Linked DNA regions of Lepisosteus oculatus. The protein of the gene in region 2 purifies or fractionates together with the protein of the main gene of each other region. This does not show direct contact. Links are inferred from orthologs where the notes say so. Each region holds a gene or a part of one and is shown on either strand. Other genes may lie near its edges.

Region 1 (7,213 bases), on a different chromosome or scaffold from region 2:
AAATGCTTCCCCTTCTAAACGAGCAGTATTGGCAGGAAATTTCTCAGCCTGATCAAGATCGACGAATCGCCTGACGTGTGGGGGAACTGCACTGCTCGAGTGGCTGGTGTGTACAGGTCATCAGGTGACGCCCACCGGACACCTGAGTTAGTGGCCGCAACCTTGGTTTCAGTGCAGTGCAGACTCATCACCTGGCCGGCAAGTGCACACCTTTTTCTGAGGTTACAGTGATTTAGATTCTGTTAGGAGGGCGTTATTAGCTCTCTGATTAACGCTGTGGTGCTCAATATCTAAATAGGTGGGGAAGAGATCTCCTCTGATTCGTCTGCATCAGAGGGTGGATCAATTTTGCCATGCCTGTACAGCCTGTGCTGCAGAAGGTTAGAGGGGTAGTCTGTCTGCTTTTAATTCAGCCCTTCTGGGTAATATTCCCGTCCTGGGTTCTCAAGAAGATCTACAGTATGTGTCTGTCATAGGTCCTCTCTTTGATAACTAGAGATAACTAGGACTGTCTGCGTTACTGTTAATGTTACATTACTTCAGTGCATATGTGTTGTGTTGTTTTCCTGTGCTGTACTGGAGGAAGGCTTAGCTGCTCACCACAGAGCTAGGTTACCGGTGTGGGTGTGGGCTTGTTCTGCCTTTTTAAATTGTCTGAAAGGGGATTGCTTTGGCTTCTGCTGGCAGCCCAAGGGAGGGGCCTTTTGAGAACCCTAATCAATTGTTTCTATTTCTGTTCTGATTGTCTCACAAGTGTTAGACTGTGTACAAGACCAGAACATTCTCTCTTATGGTATGGCATGCCTTTCAACGAGTCTCCAGCTTATTTTAAATACTCAAATTCTAATGTAATTTTCTTGCCTGTGAAGGGTTTAAATTCTTGATCCGTACAGCTTGTTCAGCAAAACATTAAATGTATTTACTGTTGATAAGAGCGAGGGCCTGCACACACAAAGAAGGCTTGTTTTAAGAATCCCAAAGAATTGTTTTTGTGTAGAAGGCCAATTGTAACTACCTGCTTTTAGAAAACACTGATATAGCTCAGTTACGTAGACATCTTATGATTAAAGTAGAATTTTGCTTAACCAATAGAAATTAAGACTGAAGTTTTTTTTTTCTTGTTGAGACTTAAGCTCTTTGTCTTCCTTATCAAGTAAGTGTACAAAAGGTCAGCTGTACCTTTTCTTGTTAAACTCATCCTCCTACTGTAATTGCAGGGAGGGTGCTTCTCTTCAGCTGAATACACAGTAAACTCCTCTTCTGCTTGAGGAAAAGGTTTCCAGTGGATTTGTACTCTACACCTGGAATTAACATGGTTTGAACAGTCCTTATAAACGTTAGTGGTCACAATATTTGTCGTGCAGAAATGAAGCAGATATTGCCATGATACATTAATTCCACCTGAGGCATTAGATTTAGCTAATTCATAAAAATTGTTAATAAACCATGAGATTCACAAATTCTGTTATGTTGTGTAGTGTCAAAAAAATGACAAAGTTCAGGTGCCTGTGAAGCAGAAGTCTCTTTATTCATATGCATTTGGAAGTCTGGCTTGCAACCACCAGACTTAAAAAATAAGTAGCTGAAGATGGTCCTTTATACCTTAAAACAAAAAGAGTTACTATGACACATTCTAAACAAATGATGAAAAAGCAACACCTGCCAATTAATTATATCTAAGTTGCAGACTAGACAACAGTTAGTTCTTTTCATATTATGGGCGTACAGCCATCTTACCAAATACATGCCCCTTATCTTACTGACCAAGGACAGGCAGCATCTTTATATACATTTGAGCACAAAGCCTACGTCAAGCCACTAAACTGCATAGTTTGCAAAAAACATACAAAAACACAAAAATGATATGAATTATCTCACTTCCCGGGCATCTCTCTTATCTCTTCATTCTTCAGTTGTAACTCTCAGTTTACGGTTCTAGACGAGGGGGTTGATGAGGAAGAGGTGCATTTTTGAAAACTACTATCTTTAATAAAAAAAATCTTGTTTGCTTCGGTTTATACTACACTTTACTATTTGTCCCATAATACTCTATGTATTTACCAAAACTGTAAATCTATAGATCTAAGATTACATTACAGATACAGTAGATCTCAGATTAGATAACAACCTAATTATTGGCACCAACATGAACACTGTTGTAAAATCTGCTCTTGATATGCAGTGCAGACAGCTGGGAACTGAGTTCACAAAATCTACACGCTACATCCTCTGCTTTCATCTGATCTACAGTAGTTGAGCTTGACAGTTGATAAATACTTACCACCTCTGCCAGAAATGTTATGTTTAACCCTACATAGGTCTTTCTCTAGGACTGATGTTTGATCATATTCATATCTCTGTTCTCTCAACTGAAGGATGTTAGTAATCATCTAACATCATAATGCAGTAACCACACTTTTTTGCCAACATCCCAACAGAACAGAAAATGCTACTTCACCAATACTCAGTTGCAGAATTAAGCATTTCATCATCCACTTCAATCCAAAATGTATTGATTCCTTACTTTAATAGTGCATTTTACAGGGTGTGATAAAGGTTTTATTAGAAAGACTAACACTTTGTCCAACTCCAATCATAATAAATCCATATTGAGCAAAATTAAAGACTTAGAAACTATTTAAGCTTTCCTTGAGCACTCTAGAAAAGGCACTTTCTTTCTGAGGAAGTATGGAACGCCAGCTGGAAATTACAGAAAGACCACGATGGCTTAATCAGCCAGGATGCGGTTTCTTGTTCAAAGAGCTAAATAGCAGTATTAGATTTTATCATTCAAAATCTTGAAGCTTTAAGGCAATGCAATAATTGAAATCTCAAACACAAATTTCACTGTGAATTCTGTTCTTTTTAACCAGTTAGTTTAAAGTCTTAAGCTGGTCTCTCAGAAAGTTACTTTAGAACATTATTTAGTAAATACAGTAACTGCAATGTCAGGACTTGTTGGCTTCTGCCACACAAATCCTGTATCCCAGCACATTCGTCTCTTCCAGAACTGATCACTGCAGTGCTCTGCTCGCTGGGCCTCCTGCTCCCCATCTCGCAACCTTCATCCGTCTGGCTCTGGTCTGCTCAAACTTGTTGAAACTGGGGGTGACAGGCCTTCTCCTGCTGCGCCCCAGAGCTCTGGAGCTCTATACCCAAGGATACCAGAGTCACATTCTCTGCATTCTGCATTTCAGTTAAAAATCCTTGATTTGCCAGCAGCCATATCACCCTGCAACTCACAACTGGCAGCCCACTGAAGCTAAGCAGGTGTGAGCCTGCTCAGTACCTGGATGGGAGACCTCCTGGGAAAAACTAAGGTTGCTGCTGGAAGAGGTGTTAGTGGGGCCAGCAGGGGGCGCTCACCCTGTAGTCCACGTGGGTCCTAATGCCCCAGTATAGTGATGGGGACACTATACTGTAAACAGGTGCCGTCCTTCGGATGAGACGTAAAACCGAGGTCCTGACTCTCTGTGGTCATTAAAAATCCCAGGGCGTTTCTCGAAAAGAGTAGGGGTGTAACCCCGGCGTCCTGGCCAAATTTCCCATTGGCCTTAACCAATCATGGCCTCCTAATAATCCCCATCTATGAATTGGCTTCATCACTCTCTGCTCTCCTCCCCACTAATAGCTGATGTGTGGTGAGCGTTCTGGCGCACTATGGCTGCCGTCGCATCATCCAGGTGGGGCTGCACACTGGTGGTGGTGGATGGGAGACCCCATTACCTGTAAAGCGCTTTGAGTGGAGTGTCCAGAAAAGCGCTATATAAGTGTAAGTGTAAGCAATTATTATTATTATTATTATTAAGTTTTGCCAATTTTGTCACGTCTTCTCCTTGTAAACTTTTTTTTTACTGTAAAGTTCTTTGGGAAGTTAATTTTAAAGGTGCCATGTAATTAAGGTTTTTATTATTATTATTATTATTATTATTATTAAACCCTTGTGTGAGAAAAGGCAAAAATGATCCTTTTAAATTACTTTTAAGTTGGTATTTTTTAATTTCATAACTTATATGCGTGATAAAACATTTTTAATCTTCACTTATAAAAATAAACACATTTAAACCAACGGCACACCGTCTTTTGTTCCGTCGACGTTTGACCTCACGCGTGGGGTTAACAGACCTCCTCAAAATGGCCGCAGACTCGCCTCTCCGCGATTTCTTCCGTTGGCGGTTAAAGAAGGTGACGCGTTTCCGGTCTCGCACGTCTTTCCACACACGGCAGAGAAGATGGCGGACGTCCTGGACTTACATGAAGCTGGCGGCGAGGATTTTCCTATGGATGAGGATGGTGATGGTAAAATTTAATATACCTTTCCGCGGACCACAGAGTAGTTTAAAATAAGAGCAGTCGGTTCGTCTTTTTTTCTTAGGTATAGCCCGCTGTAAACGTTATTTTTCGGCAAAAGATAGTTCAGCAGTGTACAAATGAGCCACACTGTTTGTCTGGATCTGGTTTGGTTTGAATGTAATTTTGTAGTTATTCGCTTATGGGTGACCGGGGGTGCAACTATATTTATTAACGGCCCTTATAATCATTTTTGTTCGCGGTTTTGCTGTATCTCTGCCCTCCCTTATTTCCTACACACGCAGTGTAATTTTCGCTGTCGGCTTGTAGGGCGGTCTATAAGCTCTGCTTGGGTTCTGTGGAGGTGCTGAGGTTCAGCCATTGCGGCTGTTAAAATATTTACCTTTGCTCATCGTCCAGAGCGGAATACGCTTGCCAGGCCGCAGGGAGGCGGGCGTGGGAGCCGCAGGGGAGGCCCGGGTTTGACTCGGGCCTGGGCGCCATCGGGGTGCAGGGTCTTGTTTAACAGGGTCTGCCATCTGGGGTCCGACTCGGACCCCGTCTTTCCCACACGGTTCACCCACAGTCCTCTGATCAAACTGGATTCCATTAACGATGCAGAATTGCTGATGCCGCGGGGGGAGAGGGGGGTGGGGATTGCTGTAACCACGATCAATACAGCCGATCGGCGTCGTGAAGAAGGGTTAACGATGAGGGGATCACTTGTTCTGTGTTGTTCCAGAGAATAACTGTCCGAGAATGTAACGTTGGCTATTTGGTATAGAATTAAATTATATAGAATAAAATCATCTGCTTTTTAGTTGAACCAGTTGTGTGCATGGTATGCTATGATAGCACTGTTGCTGTTGTCTTTGTCCATGTCAGTTTACAATCAGAGAAGCTTAAAAAGATACAGTCTTGAATGGGCAAAGTGTGTCATTCCCAATTAGATCAAATAAATCATAGCATATCAGAATCGACAATGACCATATCAAATTCAACAGTAGCACAATGGGAACACACTTTGTGCTAGCCTCAAAAAGTAACATTTTGTCAATGAATGGAGAGCAAAAAGACATCTTCTGTTTTGACCTCTTTATAGATGTGTTCAACGCGGGAAAAACTAATGCCCACTGTACTGTCTTCTTTTTCAGAAAGCATCCATAAGTTAAAGGAAAAGGCAAAGAAGAGAAAAGGCAGAGGGTTCGGATCAGGTGAGTCCGTGTTGTGGAAGCATGTTGGCAGCTGTACAGATGGATTTCTAGGCTGAGCTGGAAATGAGAGCTTCTGGCTGTTTTGTCATTGGTGATTAAATGAGTAACCTGGAGAAGTTACTTTTAAAGGTGCTGTATAACAAAGTAGGGCTGGGCGATATGGCCAAAAACATTATCTCAATCAAAATTTTCATATCAGTCGATATAGATAATTATCACGATGAATCTCAAATAATTATTTCTTTCAAGTTTAAAGGCAGATTTTTTCTCCTGAGTGAAAGTTGAAGGAACAGTTAATTGGAAAATTAAACGACTCTTTATTTTATGAACACAACAAACACTTGCCAAACAGCAGAAACATTAAACAGATGAATAGAGAGTATTCAAGTCTTTTTTATGTAAAAATATACATGAGTAAAATGTACAAAATAAATATCTTAATAGAAAAATTAAATACTGCAGTGTGATAAAACACACATAGAAGATGGTTCAGACAGACTGCAAAGTTTAAAGTGCTCTGTTTTATGTCTGATCGTAAAAAGCCAAAAAATCTCCAAATTACTGAAGTTGAATGACCTTTTCTGTCGACGATGTCATCGTCCTTCGAGCTGGTCATTAGCAGCACTACATTTGCTTCAGTGTCGCTCATTTCTCCACTCTAACTACAATCCTGTCAGCCACCACCGTGTGGATAAACAGCACGTTAGCAGCCCGGTCTGCAACACGCATGCGCAAAGCATAAACATATATATCGAACATTTATCAAACTTTTGTTAAAATTATATCGAGGAAAATTATATCGCGATAATTATCGTTATCGAGTTATCGCCCAGCCCTATAACAAAGTTCATTATTATCAGGGGAAAATGTTGATGTGGAAAATAAATATGTTCTTGAACTTTAAGTTCACTATTAGCCAGTGAAATACAGCCTGGAATTTTGTTTTTCATGATTTTCCAATGGAATACAATCTTGAGGTGTCCACCTTGACCATTGCTACTAGATCTCTAGGTCTTAACAGGCTTATTGAGGAGCTAAAGAGAACAAGAAAACCCGGAGGGCCTGGGACATGTAGGACCGGACTGGAGCCTCCTTCTTGTTTGATCACACGGCTCCAGCACATTGAAGCATGTTTAGCAACAATCCCAGCTCCTAATGAAGGTGTACAGGAATGATTGTATTTGGAGCACCCGTTTTGCAGGAAAAGCTGGTGGTTGTGGCAGTCGATCTGACAAGCAATTCAGCTCTCTTGTAGATATTCAGATTCATATATTTTTGTACAATTGTAGATCTAAATTAAGACCTCTAAAAAAGAGACCTTTACAAATTTGATGTGCCAATTGCTTCTTTTTATAAAAGTGTATTGCCAAGATGGATGGTGATTATGTTGCCATACTGCATTAAATACATGGAAAATAAAGATTACAACTGCTAAATGCCTGTTTTCAGCAAGTCGGGTGCATTACTAACATAAGTTTAATTGTTTTACTAGTTTTCTATCAAAATGACTGCTCATTAGGCTTTTTTAATTACTGAAGTACAGTCTTTATCTATTCTTCAAGCATATGGAGTGTAGGAGCGATAAACTGAGTCCTGTATCATGCTTTTCCATCTTGCTAGGAATTTTTTCTCACTGCATTAATTGTAGTTAATTAATTAATTGTACACTAGCCTAATGTAATGATTTGATGTCCCGACTTTGATTGGGG
Region 2 (7,704 bases):
GAAAAAGAAAAGATGCACAGCAGCTGTTACTGAAACAACTGTACTTCAGGAAACTGCTACACAAACCAATAGAATAAGAGATTCAAAATGCAAGCTTAATATCTTTCTTTCAAAAAGAAGAGAATCTGACTTGGTAGTGTAATTGAACACTGTTACATTTAATCTTCTTATAATCCTGTTCTCACCATAATTGATGAGTATTTTTGAGTAAAACAATCTACAAGAATCAGCTGTTATACACAATTAAATGAACATCTTCATTTCAGCTACCATAAAACATGTATATTGTGTTATATCAAAAGAATAAAACTTTCTTCAGCAATTTACAACAATAGTCCAACTTTATCCTTCACATTAAAATATTACTAGGTTAAAATGTAACATGAAAAGGGAATCTGAAACAGGAATAATGCTGTTTTTCTGTACTACTTCATTTCTAACTGTTGCACACACCTGCCAGAGGTATTCCCACGTCCATTACAGAACCATTTCTTACTGGTGTTGCAGTAGACCACACATGCTGGATCATGAATTCCACAGTAGCTTGAAAATAGAAATTAACAAGATAAGCACATTTTGTTTTCTCACCTACTGCAACATGCGCTGTCAAAACACACCAAGTAGCAACAAAACAAACATAGCAGTAGGAGGTATTGAAGAAAAACGGTACTAGAGGCTCTCAAACTCTCTCATCCCCGAGGGGAAATAAGTGTTGCATTACAATTCAACACAATCACCCAACATAACCACCATCCCCAACAAGAAGTCAAAAGAAACAGTATTTTAGAAAACATGCATATTTAACATTTTTCAAAAATAATGAAACGAAGATATTCAAATAAAAAACAAACAACTGCACAGACACCAGTAGGCATTAACCGCAAAGCATGCCCAGTCCAAATCCCCCTGGTGTCCTGTACCTGCAGGCGTGGGCTGGGAGGTCCTTGGTGTAATAGGTGTCCTCTTCATCTTCCTCAAAGTTCAGTTCAGCAAGCAGCTGGCTGGTTTTTGCTACAGCATCATCCACAGCTCCATTCTGCAAAACTCCATCAGGGCCATTCACCTATAAGACATACAAGTTGGAGAACAGCGTTTCTTGCAATCTGACTTTAAAAATGGACAATAAAGACGACACTTTGGGAAAAGCAGTACAGACTACGAAATGAAAAAGAATTATAAGGCTTTCAGGTGACCAACCCTAACCTAACCAGAAATCATACATAAAGTAAAATACTCCTTTAGTACTGTTTTCTCACATTTTATAAATATATTACAAGTTCACTCCCAATCCCCTTAACATCACTAGTCCAATCAATAAAATACAGTGCAATAAATTAAACACTGCATTCAATACGTTGCAAAAAGGGAATTTTAGAAGAAAAAAATATAGGATGTACGGTCCTCCCAATCTGAGATCAGTTAATAAAATCTGTTCCCAAGATCAATTCTGACAAGTAAGGCACCATGTGAAACAAGGAAAACAAGAAAGTTTAATAACAAAGCGGGCGAATCTGCCCCAGCAAATACTTCAGTTTTTAGCAGCTTTTTATCCCGATTAATTGGTGTTCTTTAACGGCTGCCAACCCAACAAACCAGATTCAAATTGCCGAAAAGCCCAAGTTCAAACAGCTTAACTCTGTCAGTCATAGCTGCTGGGAATTCACTTTCAGGTCAATTCAACAGGAAATAAAAGGGACATCACAACCTTCACAGAAATAAAAAGGGCGCGATCGCACACAACACGACACAAACCTGTCCGCTAATATCGGATATTAATCGCTTGCTGGGGGGGGAGAAAACTGTAGAAATGACAGGCCGTGAAGTGCAGCACCATTTTATCCCTTAGCGTAACCTCCTCCCAAACTATCAGTTTCACATCAACCCGTCACGGCAAGTTTCAGTGACACGTTTTTGGTGCAAAAAGGGCGAACTTTAAAAAAAAAACTACTAAGAACTTCGCCACGCTGGCCGGGTGAAGGCAAGGTGGCGATTTCTCCCAACAAATGCTGAGCGATTTCACGCCGACGAAAACCCCTCTTTTCCGGGTTGGTCTCCCTTAGACTACACGGCATTGATACAAAAAAGACAGACCCGACACACGCAACTTTTCGGCGTGAAGGTCCATTTCTTTGAATTTACTGCGCGCTACGTCAGTTCGGGCTCAATTTTCCTCGTAAAAATGTTGCCGGGCTGCGGTAGGAATAGTTTCAGCGATGCTGCCGGCTGACACGAGTACCTAGGGCAGAGGAATTTCACTCGCCGAGGACACGAAGCAGGTAAAGACTACGGGCCCGACCCAAACTCTCGCCAAATCCGCGTTTTTCGTGCTCCGACGGGAAGGTGGCAGCTCACCGGTTTCTCCCCCATCGGAAAAAAAAGGAGACCTCCAGCGAGCGAACCGAGAGCCCGCGGCTACGGAACGGCTCCTCGACGCCGGCTACTCAAGTCAGGAAACGTCCCCGGACTCTGCAAGTAACGCGGGCCTACTTCACTTTTACCTCAGCTGGGTAGCTTTGTAACAGCACGCCGGAGGTCTGCTCGGCGAAAATGTGAGCTGTAATGGTGTGACGGGCACACGAACCTGGTTGTCCAGCTGACTCTGGGTCTGTCCTTGCGTTTGGGTCTGGCTGGGCAGCGTGAAGTCGGTAAACTCGAACTCCGAGCCCTGGGTATCGGCTCCCAGCAGCTCGGCTTCCTCCGTGTCCAGGAAGGTTAGAGTCTGTGAGCTCGGCCCGTACGCCTCCACGCTCATTTCTCCTCAGAGCACCGGCGGATTTACAAGGAGGTGGGGAAAGAAAAAACCGCAGGAAAGTCCGGCCCCGGCGAGTTTTATTTCTCTGTTTTTCTCCAGTACTCAACGCGTGTCGTCCCGGCGGCGCGCTGGCTTTGAAAGTAAACGGAAATCGAACCGAACCAGAAAATTAAACAGTAACACACACAGCTCGAGAGAGCTCCCAACTCCCACACCAACCCGTGACGAAATACCCAACTACACAGAGAAGCGCAACGTCATGCGCACAAAGCTGCACCAAGACCGATGACGTCTGCAGTACTGTGGTGTGTGTGTGTCAAGGGGCGCTATCCTTAAACGTGATGTAAACTTTGGAAATGTCGTATTTTTCAAGTTATACACAACCGTCGAAGCCTTTTTTTATTTTGATTTATTTTGATCTTGAAATGTAAGGAAAACACCGAAGGAAAATACCGAACTTGAGACTTTAGCTGACCGTATAGCTGCAATGGGACTATACTTTTACTGGAAAACCGTCTTATGGCTCTTTGCTCAATCACAAGCAGTGGTTTCACAGACCTCTAATACCACTAATCTTGGACTACCTAATATTGTTTCAGGTAAACATGTCTCGGAGTATTACTAAACTGTGCTACTCCGTGTGGAGCGTTAAAAGGGAGATTTCGTATTAAAGATATCCTGTCTAAAGGCAATATAAATGCAAAGACTGGTCTTTTTTCGTTAATGTGGCATACACTGTGTACGATCACGTCATCCATTGCTCATAAATTTAAGGGGTTATATGGACGTTCATACCCTTGAACAAAACTACCGAATTTGTGATAAACGATTTAATAGACTCGGTTGTTGCAAGACAGTGCAACACGATACGGTACGTCCAATAATTGTGCTGAGCATTAAATCAGATTTAACAATTTTATTGCATTAAAAAACGCAGTATTTAATGACTGGGTTCCACCAACAGTATTTGAGCGCCAGCACGAGGTTGGCTCTGCTATCGGATCATCAAACACCACTTTCAGACGGTACAGCACTGTCTGAATATCTTCCCAGAAACGAGTTTTGTTATTTTCACTTTTCTTCAGTTAATGTACAACGTACTTACAGTACACTCTACAATTGTAATTATATTTCTATGGCTTTTCTTGTGATTGTAATAAAGTCTGATCGTTAAATTAGTTTGTACCACTCAGAAAACTCCATTTTTGACCAGTTCATTGGCTGCTTGGAAAGCAAACCGCCCTGCGTTAAAGCACCAGCTCAACAAAGTAATCGAATCTAGGTCTAATAATAACTTTAGGTAGAATGTTTGGAAATAACTTGCTATTTAATGCAAAAAAACAGTGGTCGCTTAGCAACTACGTTCGTCGACGCAGGTTTAGAGAACGTCTCATTATTAAAATAGAAATTTTGTTTTTCATGGAAACACCTAGAAACAGTCTTTACAGCTAGCTGCACATACAGCAATGGTCTCAGATGCATTTTCCACATTTGCTAAATGTGCTCATTTCACAGTCCTGTGGCCTATAGCTGTAACTCCACACGTTTCCCGCAAACTTAACTAATAGGCCATCACTGGATTTCACCTTTGTTGGGATTTTCTTTTTGAGTTCCAGGAAAGTGCAAGAAGGAAATAGCCGCGAGCATGGGGAGAAAGAGACGTTGACAGAGCACTTACATAGAGCAGCAGCACGCTGATTGGAGCATACAAGTCAAATAAACTATTTTTATATAGACACTTTTAAAAGTGTCTCGTCCACAAGTTCTTCACAGAACCAACAACAAAACAATACAGTTGGAGAGGAGATAGTGGAAGGGGGGATGGAATACAGTAGGAAAGCAAGGGGGCAGACACCAGTTAAGTCAAAACCCTTTTTAAAAAGAAGGGCTTGAGTCTAGATGTAAAAGACCCCCAAGCAAGGTGACTCTGATATCCTTAGGGATGGAGTTCCAGAGCTCTGGGGCGGAGCAGGAGAAGGCCCCGTCACCCATAGAGTGTAGACAGGCCTGGGGGACAGACAGGAGAGCCGAGTTAGACAAGTGAAGTCTGCAGGACAAGAGTAGCTATGAGGAAGGTAACTCCTTCATGGGGATGTGGAAAATCTTCGTCTGTATTCGCCGCAGCTGCCGTAGATGTGGTTGATCTGGCTCACACCCCCAGGGTCTCTCGGAGAGATGACTGCCTCCGCACAACAGCCACAGAACACAAGCTTCCTGAGGCTTACATAACTTGTTTACCCAAACTCCTGCTAAAGCATGGTTTTGTAATGTAGATAAATCAACAAGGTTGTAATCTTCCAGCTTCTCTACCCAGACCTCTGACCTTCTGCGGCCAATGGTTTTACACCCAAGAACGCTCGCTCCTACGGCCTGGGTCTTTGTCTTTCATTCTTTCTCTGGCAAATCATAGGTTTGTGCCACATCATTCAATTTAACTCTCCAGCTCACACACCGATCTTTTTATAGATCGGTGCTCACCAACATGCCGTCGCGGGTCTCCGTACAGATTCAAAGGTTTTTTGGTGACCTGTTCCACCTTTGTAACTCAGAGCTGTTAGGTCCACTTTGCTGGATTTTAACAAGGACCACAAGAACACCCAACCTTATTTTATAGTGCTGTAGGTGGTCAGATTCACATCCCGTTTCCTTGTCTACCAATCGCTATCACAGATGTTTGAGACTGGAAGAGCTTGTCCTTTAGACCTGAAACTGAGGTCCTGACTATTGAGTCATGAAAACATCCCATGCCACTGTTTGCAAGTAGATGTTTAAACTAATGTACTAAATTCTATTGTCATCTCTAAATTGTGCTTAGTGGATTCAACTTTCCATGTCTACCTGATCTAATGTGCAGTGGGGCTGCTGGTGCAGAATAGGTACCACGTCACCCAAGTGTGTGCTTGATTAGGTCGTGTCCCCCAGTATGAAAGCAATGCATTTTATATGTCCAATTTGTAGCTTCCATCCTGCATTTGATTAAAACTTTTGGTGTAAACACTTTCTCAGCAGTCAGTCCCAAGGGATTATTGTATTTATTAAGGATTTGAACTTCTAGGTGACTGCTAATGTGGCTGTGATTTATACATAAATTGTCTTACAAGTACAATATATTTTGAAAGTGTCAAGAGACTTGGCAATTGTAAATACTATAATGAATTAAATGTAACGTCCCTTAGATTTACCCAGTTTTATGGTTGACAGGGTTACATTTTTCAGAAACAGTGGGGGTAACATACTGAAGCAGGTTTGGAACAGCACAAGACAAAGCAAAGAGACTGGAGAATAAAGAGTTTATTAATTTTTCTTCACTACAGGGGCCCAACATGCCCAGTTTTGTCATATTTTCTATTTTGATGTCACTTACAAAGACAAGATTCGGCTTAAAAGTCCGATACCAAATAATGGGAAAAATATACTTCCTTACAGTGGAATTGGATATAAATCTAGATGCCACATTAAAATATAGAGCACACAAAAAAAATCATTTCAAAGAAGGGAGCATTATGACAGAGGTAGGTACAGTATATACTGGAAAGAGCTTTTAATTGGGCCTGATGTTGAGGACACTCAGATTTTGACTAAGGTAACACTGGTGTTAAGTAGCATGGACAGCCCTTTCCAACACCCCAGATTATGTTTTGGTTTAAAAAGGCACTGTTAACAAGAGACATCCTTTACTGATGCATGCTTAATTGACACTCGGGGTCCCATGACACCAAGTTCTTCATCACGTAAAGTAGGCATTTTTTCTTTACACCCAAGGCAGTTTAACTATTTGTCTTTTTACACCATCCTGTAGGAAGAGGCAACTCTCACCACAGAACACACAGGCAGTGACAACCTTCCTTCCACAACCACACCCCCCTCCTCCAGTCACTCCCTCATTCTCTGATCAACATGGTTCTCCTTTACAAACCCACTACTCTTTCTGCATCATCTGCAATTCTAGAAACTGCTTCTGCTAGGCTCTTTTTAAGATCTTGGTAATTACACAGTGGCAGAAATGGAGTTTGCGGTCAAGGATGAACGGAAAAAGAAAAAAGGAAAATTTTCACCATGGGACAGTTCGTCTCACAAGTGACTTGTTTCCATCCGAATAAAATAAGTCATTACCGTAATGCACTGCTAATACAGATCCAGTTCTACAAATACTAAACCATCTTCAAGAGCAAAGAGCAGGTGTACAGGTCACAAGATTTCATTTGGCTGAATTTCCTTGTTTATTGATGAGAAGCTAAAAGTAGGGATCGGGTGTGTGACAGGCATGGTTTCTGCATGCAATCAAGAGCCAATCAAAATGAACTTTAATTTAAAATGAAGTGACAATACCTATCACAGACCAGTGGTCTTAATCCTGATTGATGCCAGTCACCCCAAATCCACATTTTCTTTAGACAATACTATTGCCGAAATGTAGAGCTGCTATAATGGACTAATTTATAAGTGACGCACAGTGCATAAAGCTTGTATTCATACAATCCGGAATTCAAAATGTCTGTAAACTGCGGCAGCAGTTCATTTTGATGGCCACGTTTGTATCCAAGGAAGAAATAGTGTCTTGCAAGCTTGGATTTTCATGATTGCAATCCTGCTCAGAAAAGGTGGACAGGCTTTCAAAAGAACATTGATGGAAACAATATCAAATATACAAAATCCAGCTGACCGATTAATGATTTGATGCCATTGAAAACGAAATGTTCAGAAGTTTTCTAGTATAAGGGGTTTATGATAGACTATCGCCGCAATAAAGGTACAATTCCACAAGGGGGAGCTATAAATTAAGTGTAATCATCCACAAAGATGCAAGTGCAAGACCTTGGCTCAACAATGAAGACAGCACAGTTCAAGCTAGTTTAAGGTATTAACAGCACAGTCAATATCACAGTCTTCAGATGCATCACAACAGTTGCTCTCCATGGTCAAATTAAGAATCTGAAATTTTGTTCTAAATA
Region 3 (7,219 bases), on a different chromosome or scaffold from region 2:
CAGACCAGTTGAGGAATTAAGAAATTACTTCACCAGTTAAATTAAATGGAGGCCTTCAGGTAGGCCAGACTGGAGTAAACGACTCACCCCTGTGAACAGTGCCATGGGATTTTATTTAAAGTAGCCAGGACTTTGGTTTAACGTCTCATCAAAAGGACAACTGATCAATATAATTGTAAACTGGTTTGGAATATTCTGGCCAAATGGATGGATTTAGACCCTGCCTTGTTTACCCTCCATACTTATGAGACCAGAATACAGAGTGGCAAGACTGCTGTCAAAGATATCCTTAAATAAACTTTTGCAATTCCAGTTTCAAATAAAAAAAATAAATGAAGCTCTTCTAAATATGCTATGGAAATGCATCACAACGAGCAACCAATATTTTAAAATAATATACTGTGTATATTTCCAAGGTGAAAATAATGAGTTTATTATTACTTACCCGCAGCTCTGAAAATTCATAGTCGATGTACTCTCTCATCAGGGACAAGTGCAACAAGTGAAATGTTGTCTCTTCAGGTGTACTTATTCTATATAAAACAAAACACGCATAAGTGTCAAAAAGAGAAGGAGCAACATGAAATTCAAATATTAAATGGCACTGACTTATGCACTTGCCTTTTCTGTGACTTTTTACCACCAAAACGAACTTCTTCTCTCAAAAGAGAGAAGTGAGGTTCATGGCTTGTCAACCCAAGCATTATCTACATGGAAGAAGGAAAAAGAAAATGGTATAAATATTTAGCCAGCAGGTAAGAAAAAGTTACTTTAATTCTACTGGAAACATTTATAATTATTTTGCTCTGACATTTCATAACAGCTCTTAGGTTTACATTTTGGGAAGACCTTATACTACAATCTCAGTCTGTTAATGAGGGAGGTTTAGTGACAACTAAAGGTACTCATGATAGTTTTATTAGCATCCTAAAATTATTTAATAAGCACTTTTATAACGAAAGTTGTTCAATCCCGTAGTTCAATTTTTTTTAAAGGCAACACCTTTAAATGCTTAAAAGTCATGTACAATCAAATGAAAATGCATGCATTTTTCAAACTAAAAAATACATACCAGATCAGCATCCAAACCATAAAGACAGTGCCTGGTATTGGGGTCATGGTCTGGCCTGGCATTTTCTGACCGAATGAATTCCATGATTTTGTGTTCTCCTTCTCCAGGGGTCTGTACAGTAAATAAATAGCAGATTTGTGATCATAATACCTAGCATGGAAAACTCTCGAGACTGCAGAGGTACACCGGAACATAAATCACATCACGTATCGAATTACTCTGTTTCTCTATTTAATTATATACCTCATGACCGGAGAGGTAAACTCGCACCCTCTGCCATGATTTTTCTGTGGATATTTTGTTATGCACAAAATACTCCAGCTGCTCCTGGAGTCTGGCCATAAATTCTGTTCCTAAAAAAAAAAAGAGAAAAGGCATTTGAGGGGTACAGTACAAACATGTCAGAAAACAAGGCAAAAGATGAGCGAGGTGTCAACATAGCCCCAGCTGTGTAGTAGCTACCTGGAGTAATGCAGTTGGAGTCAAATCTAGCCTCTGTAGGAAGAACTTCTCCTTTCTCTAGGGCCTTCTTAATTTTATCTTCAGCTTCTTTTGCTGACCTTCAAATAAAACAAAAAAATAAAAACACTGCCCATAAAGTATCAACCTCCCAGACAGACTACCTTTGAATCCGTGGTACACGAAACAAACCGTGTTGTTACCTAAAGCGCCTTCCGCGCTGTTGGTTCATTTTTGCGCGAGGAGCCACTCCATCCACGGCCATGAAGAAGACCTTTCTCGGCTTAATGATACGAAACAGCACTTCCAGATAGTGAAAAATGTCGGCAAATATTTTCTCTTCTGAGATTCGGAAGTGCACGTCTTCATCATTGGGGTGGGAGCACTGATGAATAATGCCATTCATGTCCAAGTACAGGTTGTCAAATTCAGGAATCTGAAGCAAGGGACAGAAACAGACTGCCTTTAGCCTCTACCGGGCAATAAAGCAACATTAAGTCGGTCGCCTGCGCCTCAAAGTGAACTGCAACAATGTCGCTGTTTCGGCTGTAAAGTCTACGAGAGTGCGCTCTTAAATGAAGCTTTAAATATAAAAACTAATTTACAATATTTCCCAAAGCAAAATAAACCAACGTGTTAGCCGCCCTGGATAGAAGCTAAAAATAATAAATACATAGAAAAGGCGACCTCTGTAACGAGAGAAAGAGATAAGAATATCGTTTAGATGTATTGACTACAAATGCAACTATGAGGATTATTACTGGTTCTGTTCGCAGCAACAGGACAAAATTACATATTGAGCATGTTTTTACAAATCAAGTAAAACTGCTGTTGTCAGGGAGATACTAAAACCAAAATGTCTTATATTTATTGTATCTACTGTATTCAATTGCAGATGTTTCCGCTCATAAAACAACTTTAAAAAACAATTGCTTCTTAATGACAACAGTCATTTATGCGGTCTAAACTAAACAGAAAATGAAAACTCATACTGAAGCTCAATTATTTTATAGAAAAAATAAACAGACAGAGCTATGCAATTAAATCAGAATCAGAAGGAAGGGTTGTATGGTGTAACTCGTAAGGCCTATATATTCTTACCTGATGTTCCTTAACAACTTCACTCAAACAAGGGTATCTCTCCGAAATCCATCGGTAAAATTTCGGTACACCCATCCTTACCACAACCTCGTCCCGAGAGATTAAAAAAAAATGAATTGCAGTGTTGCAGTAAAAGTTTATATTCCTACGGAGGCCAGTTTTTATTTTTGCTTCTATGCCAGCGGGGAAGTGCGGACGGTCAATTCGAAATTGCTGTGACGTAAGACTGATATGGATACAGTACAATGCTAAAATAACAATTCATCAATTTCCACTAAAAGACTTGTAACGAAATTTCATTTTTTTCCTAATCTTTCGCCAAGATTAAATAAAGCAAGAGCTTTTTGTTCAAACGTTAAATTGTTTCCCTTTCTTATTATTTGTCCGACAAATAATCAGTCCCGGACTGCTTCGACTCACAGTAAAGGTTCCTATGGACTTTAAAACTGTCAATTACTGCCGTTGTGAGATTGTTAAATCTGCGGCGGCGGAGGAATAATAAATAAAAGTAATAAAACCAGTGCTAAATAAAATAAATATTAAGGTCATATTTAATCAAACACGGTGGATTAACAGTCCTTAAAACCGCAGACGACAATACAGTGGCTAGGATTGTCCACATTAGGACAAATAAAACTGCTGATGCGTGTCAGACGATGGGGTAAAGTAAGGCATTCAACAGAGGATAAAATCTAGAACCCCTTAGAATTCGGGTGTTAGAATGACAAAGGGCAACACCTGCACTATTCCGGAAAAGACGGCTCAACCTCGCCATCTCGTCAAAAAGACTGTGTGATACTGTTCGGTTTACTGAAAGTGAACTTTATTACACATACTTTGACCAATTGGGCTAGTATTTTGCCCGCACCAGTTCAACACAACGATGCCGAGTGATTAGCGATTTATTAACTGTATTTTTCGTGATTGAAGTTTTGCCATGTTCAACAAAGTGGATGTCAGTTGAATGGTAACGTTTTAGTGTTTCTGTTAAAGGAACGCGGATGTCAGTTGAATGATTTTTTAGAGAATGTTCCTGTTAAATTAAAATTATAGTAACAATAGTAACATCTTAGAAATGCATTTTGAGATAAACATTTAAGATGCCTTTGTAGTATTTCATTTTTCGACCTTCACTGGAGAATAGAAAATCTGTTACATAACTGGAATAAGAAGGCCAGAATTAAACTGCACTTAGTCAAACGTCGTGTCTGTATAATAACAGAACTTATCCAGGAGATACGGGATATTTCATGAAGTCCTTCAAAAAGTGATGAGGGGGAAATTCATTCAGGAAGGCTTTGGAGGGACTATTGTTATAAGAAAGTTTTGGTAATTTGTGTGGAGCACTAGATTACACTAATTTAAAAAAGAACAGGTTTTCAGTAAATAAAATCAAAAGATAATGTTACTTTTCTGCTAAAAGATTTTTTAAACATGTACATCTCTCAAGAAGTTCACCACAAGAATCCAAGACAGTGTTTACAACTTGTTGAGATTTTTCAATGTCTCTCTGAGCTACAGTATGTCTCAAACCCAGACAATACTTCAAAAGAAAGAGCTAAAGATCTTAGTTAAGAAATCAGATCTGAAATTAAGGGAGGTGCTTTGAAAATTTTTATAGAACTCTTTTATTATTGTGGTTATAATGTAACACGTGAATTTACATAACAGAAATAATGTCAATAATTTCCAAACAGATTTGAACACCGCAAAGAAATGAACACGCCAGTAGAAACATAAATGTTTTTAATAAAAGAAAGTGAGGAATGAATTTGCCCTGAATAATAAGTGCTTATTTGAGACACCAAACATGGTCACAGGTAGGGAGCCCAGCCCAGGTACATGAGACAAAGCAGTTTCTCATTTGTGGCTTCATCGATGAGGTAGTGAACATGGCCTTCAATGGATAGAGGCAAACCCATCACCTTGTTCCTGTTCTTGATAACCCCCTGCAGCCTCTGCTCTATATCAAGGACATGGGTCTTCGCCTACAGAAAACAAAGAGCAAATGTCAACAGTGCAGGTATTTCCAAGATGCTACCACTCGACAATTCTGTCAGAGAAAGTTCAGGTATTGCTGTGTACAGGAAATACAATAGACAATTCAGTGATTGCGTTTGACACCTGTCAAATTCATTCACCCTGGCTTGAAACAGGAATTCAGAATACAACATCACATCACAGTTGTCTGTGAAACGGCATACCTTTTCATTAAGGATTTCTCCGGATTCATTGACGTGGGCTTTTGTACCTCCCTTAACAGGTTTACTCCACTCCACCAACGGATCATGAAGGAAGGTCTTCAAGACACTAAGAAGTTGGAAAGAAACGAGCACAAAGTTCAAACACTGTACTTCATGAATGGAGATTACTCAATGTGTGTAAACCCACAGAGGGAGGAGGTTCCTACCTCATTAACGGCTCCCTCTGATCCCGCATTAGTCGGAGGGTGACCTCACAGGCTTGGCGGAACAGACCCTCAGTTCCCATGGGGCCCATGGCGTGAACCATATTCTGTGTCAGTCGGAAAGGCACTACTTCTGGGACTTCAAATGTTTCACCCTATCACGGAAAAGAAAAGGCTCAAAATTCCCTGCATGCACAAAATGAGCACCTAAAACACGGTTATTCATTGATGTCATTCCTTTTTTCCTTATTGTATAGGGGTTCCCAACCTCCCAATAAGGACAAGCAACATTAGCAGTAAATCAGATTGAAACAAAGAATATAAATTATTCCCTGAAATATATTTGCTGAAAGAAACTGGGCTTAATAACACCTTAAAAACCTTTATAACAAACCTATGCAAAGGACAAAAGTTTGTCTTTAAGGCCTTTGAAGGATTTAAGAATAGAGGAATATGGCTCAGGTGTCACCACTTGATTGTAACAGAATTCCAATTGGAACATACTTCACAAATGAGGGGAGACCATATAGCTAGGTTGGTTTTCTATCACTAGGGGGTTTGAGGATGTTTTGGTGAAAGAAACTTCGGTACTATCTTTGACAGCCCATCTGGGTAGTTTGTTGCAGATGTCTAGCGTATCCACTCCATTTTAAAAGCAATTCCCTTATTTTTGTCTGTGCAGCATTCAGAGGTTGAAGTCATGAGCCAAGTCTTACAAGGCAGGTGCCAGATTGGGTGGGTATATGATAAAAACACACCTGAGGTAATATGCGCACACACCTTATTAAAGAGACAGTTGAAGTCCACATGCACACATTCTCCTGTTAAAGAGTCAAACAGGATGTTTTCTCCATGTCGATCCCCAAGTCCCAGGATGTAGCCCACCATTGACATCACAGCAATGGAGCGGCAATATGCAGATCTACTGCTGTACCTGTAACGAGACACCGTTCCAGGAACTTGCGTTACATTAAAGTGATACGGTTTCCCTCAAATTGTTTGAACAATTTAAACAGATGGAATGGTACAAACCATGAAGTAGGATCAGGGAACGTTCTAAGGAACCACTCATAAAAGACTGGAGGGTGTCGGGGAACGAGAACATTTTTGTGCAGTTTCAATTTTTCCATAAAGGGGGCAGATTTTGGCAACATGTACTTGCGTAACTCCTTTCCACTTAAGTAAATGCCTGAGGAAAAGCAGATCATTAAAATATTTAAGTGAGAAAGAAGAAAATAAGTTAAGGTGAAAGTCTATCATCATTCACATGGGTACTAATAAACTGCAAAATACAGTATGTCATAATATGAAGACCATAAAGATTTTCAAGTCTAAATGTCAATGGTGGTTTACTCATTAGTTTCTCTTCTCAATACATATTTCAGAATTTCCCCTTTAAAAATGTTTAAAATGAGATAATTTTCCTGATACACCCAAATGCCTTTTTTTCAATTCTAGCTTCAGAATCAAATATTTTCTCTTCCCATTTAGTCCCATCTAACTATATAACAATGTAAATATGCAACCATCTAACCATGCACCATGTAATAGCATGACTTTTTAAAATAGTGTTATGTTACACAGATCTAATCATATAAACAAACATCACAGTGTTATGTACAGGTTTTTGATGCAAACTGACTTCTGAAATTATAAGTGTATTCCATGAATTGGCACAATTATAGTCTACATTTATTTTAAATCACTTACAGTATGTGTCAGTTTCCACAATCTAAATTTAAGCATCACTTTTGATTTGCATTACTTCTGAAATAACACATGACTGAGCACGTCCTCACTAATGCCTTTTGATTTAGACTTTTTGCGCTTGTTTTTGTCCTTGTTTAATACCACTAATAGACAATTAGTGAATAAACTTTAGTGAATTTAATTTAAGTTTGTGTACATCCACAAATAACAACTACTTTATTTGTAGGTGTACTGTATATTTACTGCCTTCTTATGAATACTGACTTCTTCAGCAAACAACAGCTTTTCATATGATTCAAATTTCAAATTGCAACAGTTTAGAAATGAATGACATGCACCTTTTTCTTTGTACAATTTGTTGAGGATGTGCCTCAGCCCTGCTGTATTGTTCACCCACTCAATAATCCCACATTCCTCGTTCAAGGGGATGACAGCATAGGTCCTGATGTGCAGCTCTCTCCTCCTGGACT
Region 4 (7,597 bases), on a different chromosome or scaffold from region 2:
CTAGATCCCTGGTCACTAGTTTTTGGAGAGGAGCCCTGCTGATTCCCCTGTGCCTGGTTGGCACACAATCTCCTACAGTTCCCTGCGTCTGAGCATCTGAAGTGCAGTGTTCAGTGAAATATTACCCACCCAAGCCTATTAAGGGACTAGAAATAATAGTACTTATAGAATGTTGAATCGTACTTGAGCCATGTGCTGTTTGTTTCCCAGATACAGTTCTAACTGCATGGCCCTGGAATTCCAGAGATATGATCTTCCTGCCCCTTACCATGCTCCAGCTTTTAATGACTTGGTTTAATTGGTCTGGATCAGTCCTTAGCTGTTGAATTTGGGGTTTAAAACTAAATTCCAGACTGGATTACACAGTGGGTTTCTTAATTGGAGAAATGCAGTGCTTTTCACTGGGCCTATAAATCTCTATAGGGACTGTGCTTAGAATGAATTGGATGTCTTAAGGCTGTGTGACAAGAGTTCAGCAAAGAGGTGCTGGTATTTCATCCCCCGAGGAAGTTGAGCTGATTGTGAAAGGAGGGTTTTCATTTGAACTGTGACAGGAGCTCAGTCTGACACGATGCACGCAGCTGCCTGATTGGCTGATGGTGTCGTAATGCGCCTGGATGGCTGTGGTTCTCCTGGCTGCCGTGACACTAGGGGGCAGCAGCGCTGTCGCCCCGTTTCCTCTGTTCGAGTGTCGGCTATCCTGAGTCTCAGAACAGCTCCCTTCAAAGCCTGGGGGGACGGGACCGTCTTGTACACCCCCAGACCTACCGGGCAAAACCTGTGGGTTTATCTGCGTTTCTCTATGCACAATTAAGCCCCCCGGAAAAGACATCCTATCCAAATGGGTTGAATTAAGTAACTGGCGTCGGAGGTGGAATGAATACCAGGGGTCCCACTGCAGCTGGTGCCTGGACCTCCCGGGTGAACCTGGATGAACAGGCTGGCCCACCCTTTCCGAGGCTCATCGGCGTCCTCTCTTGACCAGGAGAAGGTAAAAACGTTTCGAGCTCAGCAAAGTCTTGGGGAGCTGTAGCCCGTTTGATTTGAGCTTCAAGTGGCTTCATTTGAAGGAGCTGCCATGTTTCCCCATTTCTCTGTTCACTGGAAATATAGGAATTTCCTAAGGCATTGGGATGGTGGTGGTCCAGCACTGGATCTCGCGGTTCAGGACCCCGGAGGTCCTTGTGTCCTCGCTGTCCCAAGCCCCCGCCGGTGTCCAGTGGGAGTTCCTCGGAGCGCTGCCCCTTGTTTCAAGCGCAGGAGTGGTGCTTTACCCTGATTGTTGAAAAGCATAAGAGACGCATGCTGTAAAAATAAACTGTACAAAGAGGAAAACTAGTCTAAAAGTGGGTTCATATAGCTGTTCCTCTGTCCCTCTGGAGGAGGGGAGAGGGGGTTTGCTCTGTTTTCCCTCTTTAAATGTTCATCTTCTGCATGTTCCTCAGTTGGAGGTATTTTAATCCCTTTGCTGTTTTTGTTAAAATTTTGGGGATTGTATTTCTTACCCTTTTTATTGTTAGTTTTACGTCCTGTCAGGTTCTGTGTAAAGATGCTCTTACAGCTGAGCTCTGTCCGCCTGGTCAGCTGGCCCTCGCGTCCAGTGCCCACAACCTGCCCACCCCTTGAGCTCCTTGCTTGTTAAACACTTGCAGTACAGAGCCAGGATCTGTGTGCTGTACATTGTGTGGGGTTGCACGTTTCCAGCAGCATTTGCTGTTAGTGAGGAGCACGACTGTGTCGATCTCTTATTTCGAGCTGGAATACCCTAGCTGTACATGATGAAAAACTTCTGCCCCCCTGGCCTCTCAGGTTAAGATTCCAGAGTCAGCTCCTCACATCCCTGACGCCTGTGTGATCCCAAGGCTACCTGGTCAGGTGATGACTGGTTTTCTTCAGGAATGCCGGAATACAAACAGAAATGCAAGACGAGACGCTGTCGGTGCTGCAGGGGGGCTGCGTCGCTTGCAGGGGTGTCCAGCTGACCGGCAGCGAGGTCAGAGGTCAGTGGGGTCCGTTTTGTTTTGGGCGGTTTGTGCCCTGTGTTTTTTTTCCCCGCTTCTTCTTCGCCTGCAGAATTGATCGCATCTCGCCAGTCCCCTCTGTGCTGGTCGTGCACGTTCAGGCGCAACACAACAAAAATGAGAGTATTTCTTTCAGCCTCGCCTCTGTCTTTCACCCCGTTTTTGTGTTGATGTTGGAATTCTGCTCTTCCCAGTTGTTGATCTCATGCCGTCCTCTCCCAGCCAGTTCCAAGGGTAAGCCTCATGGTGGGCCCCCGTGTGGAGCGGCTGGTCAAGGCACTTGTCTGAGCACGGGTTCGAGCCTGGGTCATGTCACTGACCCCCTGCTGAGGGTGGTGGTGGGGGCAGTTAGAACTCTCGCAGTGCTTGACAACACAGCGCCCCCTGTGGCCTCCTGGGCTCCCTGCAGGCAGGAGGAGGCATCAGGGAGGGGCGCTCCCCTCCTGTTGGGCCCTGGGCTACTGGTAGTGACTGGGCAAAAGGTGTAAAAAAAAAAATCTGATGGCCTCTTCCACTTTGGGAAGGAGTAACGAAAATAAGTGACGATTTACTATTAAAAAGCAAGCCTGCCATAGAATAGAACAAGGACCGTGATCAGCCTGTGCTTCAGACCTTGTTTGGAATGGGTTACGGAGGCTGGGATGTCGACCGGTTCCCTCGGCTCCTCGTGCGAGTTCCACGGCGCTGAGAAACCTGCCAGTCTCAGCCCTGTGTCGAGGCAGCCGTGATCAGAAGGCCCCGAGACGCGCGTCTCTTTCTCTCTGTGGTCGTCCCCGCTTCCTGTTGCGTCTCTGTCCTCTTCTGGTTCCGTTTCTCCTCCCCAGCGGGAGACGACAAAATCCCAAACTGTATATTTGACCGCCTCTGTACATAGCTTTCAGAAACACACACAAGGTGTAAATAAGCACGACGTGGCTGTTATTTTTATTTAAAGTTCAACTTCACTCTTGAGTGTTAACGTTCAGTATTGGTATTCTAAAAAAAAAAACATGCTTCAGTGTGAAAAAGTTGACAAAGTGGAATTGTTTTTCAATAAAATTCACAAACTCGAGTGAATGCCATGTTTTATTTGGAGGGGATGGGATATTTATGCTTTGCCTTCTCCCTCTCGGAGTTAGTAAAGGAACGGGCCACTGGTTGCACTGCATTTATTTTTGGTGTTTCTAAGAAATGGGACCTGGTTTCCCCCCAAATCGCCGTGAGATTCAGCTCTTTTGGTAGGAATCTTACACGTGTAACAGTGTGTTATAGAACAAGTAGAGGATAATTCCGCCCTTAAAAATGCAGTGTTTCGGGTGTGTCCTGTCAGGAGTCAGGCAACAGGATTAGGATATAGAGTGAAATCTGTACATGTCAAGTCTAGGCAAGTAAAAGCTCTTGGTAACACTTCATCTGGAATATGCTTATGTGTAAATAAAATGAAGACTGATAAAGCACATACTGCAGGTTTGCAAAGAGACTGTTCCACCCATCTAATGTTATTTGTTGGTAGCTAATTAAACTGAGGACCAAAGTCCAGCCATTTCTCAAAATAAAACAATGGGGCGTGCAGCTTGTTTCCTGCTTCTGCCACCCTTCATGTACAGAAGCCTCCTTATAAGTCGTCCAAGAGGGACTGCTTCAGGACCAGCAGTGAGAAAAGGACCCGAGGCCACAAGTGACAAAATGAAGGCAGTAGTGAATTGAGGATTGAAAACGGGAAGCCTGTCCTGTGTTAACAGGAAATAGTATAAATGATTCAGCAAATGGGGAAGGAGACATCCTGCTTTATTGATGCCATGCAGCCTTTCATCTCTTATTTTATGGATGGGTTTTTTTCCAGCATGAAAACTTTACACCTAAACTCAACAATCTGCACCTGATCGCGAGTTTCCGGAAAACCCTCGCGATTCCTGCGCAGAGCTCAGCAGTACCTAGTTCTTCCACCAGGTGGCAGGCGCCTACCGAAGTGGGGTCGAAGTGCTTCAGGCGCTTCTACCAGGTTATTGACCTGTTGACGTTTCTCATTGATCACTGTTGTTCATCTCTTCGAAAGACAAAGTCGAAGAACGCAGCCTGGTACATAAGTACCTTTTTAGTCGCAATAATCCCTCGAATTAATTAGAGAGACCGCGGTAGAGCCTCCTTGCTTTTGAAAGCACATCAACACGAGATTTCGAAGTCAGTACCCTGGGGGTTTGAAACTGGGCTCAGGTAAAATGACTACACCTTACTAACTGGAAAATGAAATCAACTTCATGCGAGAGATGTTTTTAAAAGATGAAATATGTTTCGGCAGCACAGCTGGGCAACTTGTTCTAGACTCACACAACTCTTTGTGTAAATTATATAACCAGCTGTAGGGGTTCTGTCGCGTAGTTTATTTTTTTTGTCATTTAGTTCGTGTTGCACTGCTGACTTTGAAGTACTCCACGTGGTGAACTAGTCAACGGTTTAAAAAAAAACCCCTATCATTTACTGCAAATCCGAAATAATTTAATACCCGACGGACAATCTGTAGTAGCAAACACTGCTTCAGTAAGTATTGCCTACACTTCCCATAAAGAGCTTTCGCGAGTCATGGCCGTGAGGGTTCATGGGAATTGTAGTGTTCCCGATGGCTTCGTTGCGCCTCCTCACGTGTGCTTGGCCTACGTTTCCCATAAGCCCTCGGGAGGCGCAAGTTTTCCCCTGTTCATTTCCCAAGATGGCGGACAGGCGGCGGCGGCGGAAGCGCGCGTCCCAGGACACCGAGGAAGAGGACGAGTCCGGTTCTGGCACCGAGAGCGGGAATTCGGGTCCAGCTGGAGGAAAGCCCCGGGCGAGGGCTCCCGAACCTGCGGTGCTGCCCAGCGTCCGGGTGCGGAAGAAGAGTGAGGACGAGTCGGAGTGTGTGAGTCTCTCGTCGCCGAACCCCCACCCCCCCCAACGCTTCTCGGCTTTGAGCTGGGGAGTTAAAAATGGGCTTCATCTGCTCGGCTCCTCTCAGGCCGCACGGCCTCGGGCTAGCGCTGCAGCAGCGCCCAGGAGGGAGGCCGTGGAGCCGCGGGTCCCTGCGGGGAGCCGGGCGGTCGGTGCGGGTTACACCGGGGCCGGGCGTTGAGCCCCACGGTCCGGCAGCTCCATACCGCTTGAGCAGCGGACGGTAGCCCCTGCCGACTGGAGGAAGCTACCAGCTGGATGCTGAGAGCAGATCGGAACCTCTCCCTTGTTGGTGGTCTGGGCTGGTGTGGGGAAAGGCAGGGGCGTGAATTCACCGTCCACTCGGTGCCCACGGACACGCGTCCTCTCCGCCCGGCCGCCCCGGAGCGCTTGTGGGGTTTGTACTCCAAGGGGTAGTGATGGGCTGTCTGGAGCAGATCGGATCCTCTGGAGCACAGAGCTCAAGGCCTGTGAATTTACAATCGCTTGACCAGGATTGTTTTATTTTCAGTTTCTTTTTGCCTATGGCACCCAGTTTCGTGAGCACGGGAGGTGCCGATGGGCTCCTCTATGTGAGCGGGGTCCTCAGAGCTGCTCTGCTGGGTGCCTAGTCTCCATACCTGAGCCACACGGGGCCAGAGCCCTTCTCTTCCCCCCAGTCTCCCTGGGCAGGAGAGAGCACGGGATCCCCCCACCGCCGACAGGACGCCAGTCCAGGGCAGGGGTCACCCCCAGCAGTGCTGCTCCCCACTTCACCAGCTGCTGGGGTACGACACCCCGCTCGGAGTACAACAGCAGCGTCTGCAGTGGAGACTCGAATCCCCAGGAGCTCAGACTGCTGCCCTCCGTGTCACACCTCCTGTGTCACAGCTGGCCGATGGCGGGGTCTCAAACGCAGTGGCCTGTTGACATCTGAAAACAGCGGGGTTGTGCAGAGACCTGCGCTTTATACACTGGTACCCCAAGTGCTCTTGGGTTCGTAAGTCTCTTAGCTTGACTCACAGAATCTTAAGACCCAAGAAATGCTTGATTCGTGAAAACATTTAACGCTAACGTTAAGCTGCTCTTAAGTCAGTGTTGAGATTCCAGAGTCCCTGACAGCCTGCAGGAGAGAGAGTTTTGGGGTCCAGGGGTGGGGATCACTAGCGGTGCTTTATTTCCACACCCTGCTAACGCACAGCAGCTCAGACGGGTTCTCGCCCCCCCCCCAGATCGAGCTTTAACAGCCGACGGTCGGGTTCTGCTGTGGCCCCTTTGCCCTCCTCCCTGCGTCCGAGCCTTCTGGCCCAGGAAACGTCTCCCCGGCACCAAGCTGGGGCTGCGGGAAAGAAACGCTAACCCATCGAGACCCTGTGGGCGGCGAGGTGGCTTGTGGCGTGCGAGTTACTGGCGTTGCTGGCGGCGTGTGTGATGTCCTGCGCCCCAGCAGAGATTTGAGAGTTGGGGAGCCCCAGTGAATCATCAAGTCTCCGAGTGTGTATGGTGCGATGCAAGTTGGGGGTCTTTCACCCCCCTTTTTTGCCGTCTGTTTCCATGAGTGGAATGTGCTGTGATGCCCCGGGTGTATATTGGGGGGCGGGGTCCGACCTGTTTCCCACATGTGCTGTCTGAGGTTGAGAGACGTGTTCTTCTAGGGCAAACCTTTCCCTAAAAATCCTAGGAAGCCTTTCTTTAGTTTCTTTCCTGGGAACGGTGGGCAGCTCCTGTACAGACTTCCTGGAAAATGGCGCTACTGGTGCTGTAGGCAGGGGCTACAGTCTGTGTGTCTGCTCAGCATGGTCGTTGCCTGAGCTCACACGTGTCCTGAATCTGTCACTATCAAGCTCTCACTGAGGGAGGAATGTGAAACTGAGGGAGGAATGTGAAACTGCTGTGCTTGAGTAACGTAAACAGCCTTTTCTGTTTCTAGTAGAATATTTTATCTTAAACAATACTGCCTTTCTGAAAATCTGGTAGAATAAATATTCAACAAACTTACCTGAAGAGAAATCATGAATATAGAGTGTTTTAAGCACACTAGTGCTATAGGAACAAATGGAACTGTGTTTTTTTTTTTAAGCTCATGTGCTTGACTCACAGTGATTTACGAAGTGTGTATCAAGAAAGAACAAGTAAAAATCATGAACACGTTTTTGAAATTCTTTTTGAAATAAGTCTGCTTTCTAGGGATCCTGGAAAATGTAGGAAGTGGTAACTCATTCCAAGGCATGGCATGGGTGTTGGAAAAGGAATTGTAGAATGTACACTGGGAAGGAAAATCCCTTCAGCTTTCTAATGGGGTTTATATGAACTGAATATCCAAGGATAATGTTTACTACAGGACTCCACTGTTGGATGGCCTAGTGTCCTTTTTTGTTCCAACCTGAGTAGTTAACCTTTCTTTTGGGTTTTTTCCTCAAACTATTGACTTCATTAAAAGATAGTTATTTATTAAACACGCCAGAGTCTGGGTTAGAAGTGTCACAATTATGAAATCAAATATTGGACCAGGTCTGTAACTGTGAGAAAATGAGCTGGGGTTCCCTTGCTAGAAAACTGTTAATTGCGGTTTAGCACTTACATTGCACTGCTGCTCTTATTATTACATCATTGAAAATAACGTGAGTCGGTTTTCTTGCGATAAGGTTTCCAACTAACACTTGTTTTTCTTCTCTCATCGTAATGCAGGAAAGCGA

The links.
Region 1: the proteins of upf1 (region 2) and rbm8a purify together in Homo sapiens (co-immunoprecipitation; 7 studies listed by BioGRID and IntAct, with this or other methods). This does not show direct contact. The link is inferred for Lepisosteus oculatus from reciprocal best matches to the Homo sapiens genes UPF1 and RBM8A.
Region 3: the proteins of upf1 (region 2) and xrn1 purify together in Homo sapiens (affinity purification with western blotting; 4 studies listed by BioGRID and IntAct, with this or other methods). This does not show direct contact. The link is inferred for Lepisosteus oculatus from reciprocal best matches to the Homo sapiens genes UPF1 and XRN1.
Region 4: the proteins of upf1 (region 2) and casc3 purify together in Homo sapiens (co-immunoprecipitation; 5 studies listed by BioGRID and IntAct, with this or other methods). This does not show direct contact. The link is inferred for Lepisosteus oculatus from reciprocal best matches to the Homo sapiens genes UPF1 and CASC3.

The regions. Positions count from the first base shown.
Region 1 is NC_090722.1:2,288,690-2,295,902, forward strand, and holds the start of rbm8a (RNA-binding protein 8A), read left to right. Parts: upstream 1-4,193; 5' UTR 4,194-4,232; coding exon 4,233-4,299; intron 4,300-5,444; coding exon 5,445-5,504; intron 5,505-7,213.
Region 2 is NC_090724.1:3,883,625-3,891,328, reverse strand, and holds the start of upf1 (regulator of nonsense transcripts 1), read right to left. Parts: upstream 3,003-7,704; 5' UTR 2,753-3,002; coding exon 2,582-2,752; intron 1,064-2,581; coding exon 921-1,063; intron 544-920; coding exon 454-543; intron 1-453. UniProt on the Homo sapiens protein: RNA-dependent helicase required for nonsense-mediated decay (NMD) of aberrant mRNAs containing premature stop codons and modulates the expression level of normal mRNAs.
Region 3 is NC_090708.1:15,747,978-15,755,196, reverse strand, and holds the start of xrn1 (5'-3' exoribonuclease 1), read right to left. Parts: upstream 3,014-7,219; 5' UTR 2,708-3,013; coding exon 2,633-2,707; intron 1,968-2,632; coding exon 1,735-1,967; intron 1,633-1,734; coding exon 1,535-1,632; intron 1,426-1,534; coding exon 1,316-1,425; intron 1,184-1,315; coding exon 1,073-1,183; intron 708-1,072; coding exon 622-707; intron 534-621; coding exon 446-533; intron 1-445. Other genes in the region: serine/threonine-protein kinase ATR, read right to left, coding at 4,447-4,620, 4,837-4,942, 5,043-5,194, 5,820-5,973, 6,072-6,228, 7,088-7,219. UniProt on the Homo sapiens protein: Major 5'-3' exoribonuclease involved in mRNA decay. Required for the 5'-3'-processing of the G4 tetraplex-containing DNA and RNA substrates. The kinetic of hydrolysis is faster for G4 RNA tetraplex than for G4 DNA tetraplex and monomeric RNA tetraplex.
Region 4 is NC_090723.1:9,611,392-9,618,988, forward strand, and holds the start of casc3 (protein CASC3), read left to right. Parts: upstream 1-4,582; 5' UTR 4,583-4,596; coding exon 4,597-4,893; intron 4,894-7,589; coding exon 7,590-7,597. UniProt on the Homo sapiens protein: Required for pre-mRNA splicing as component of the spliceosome. Core component of the splicing-dependent multiprotein exon junction complex (EJC) deposited at splice junctions on mRNAs.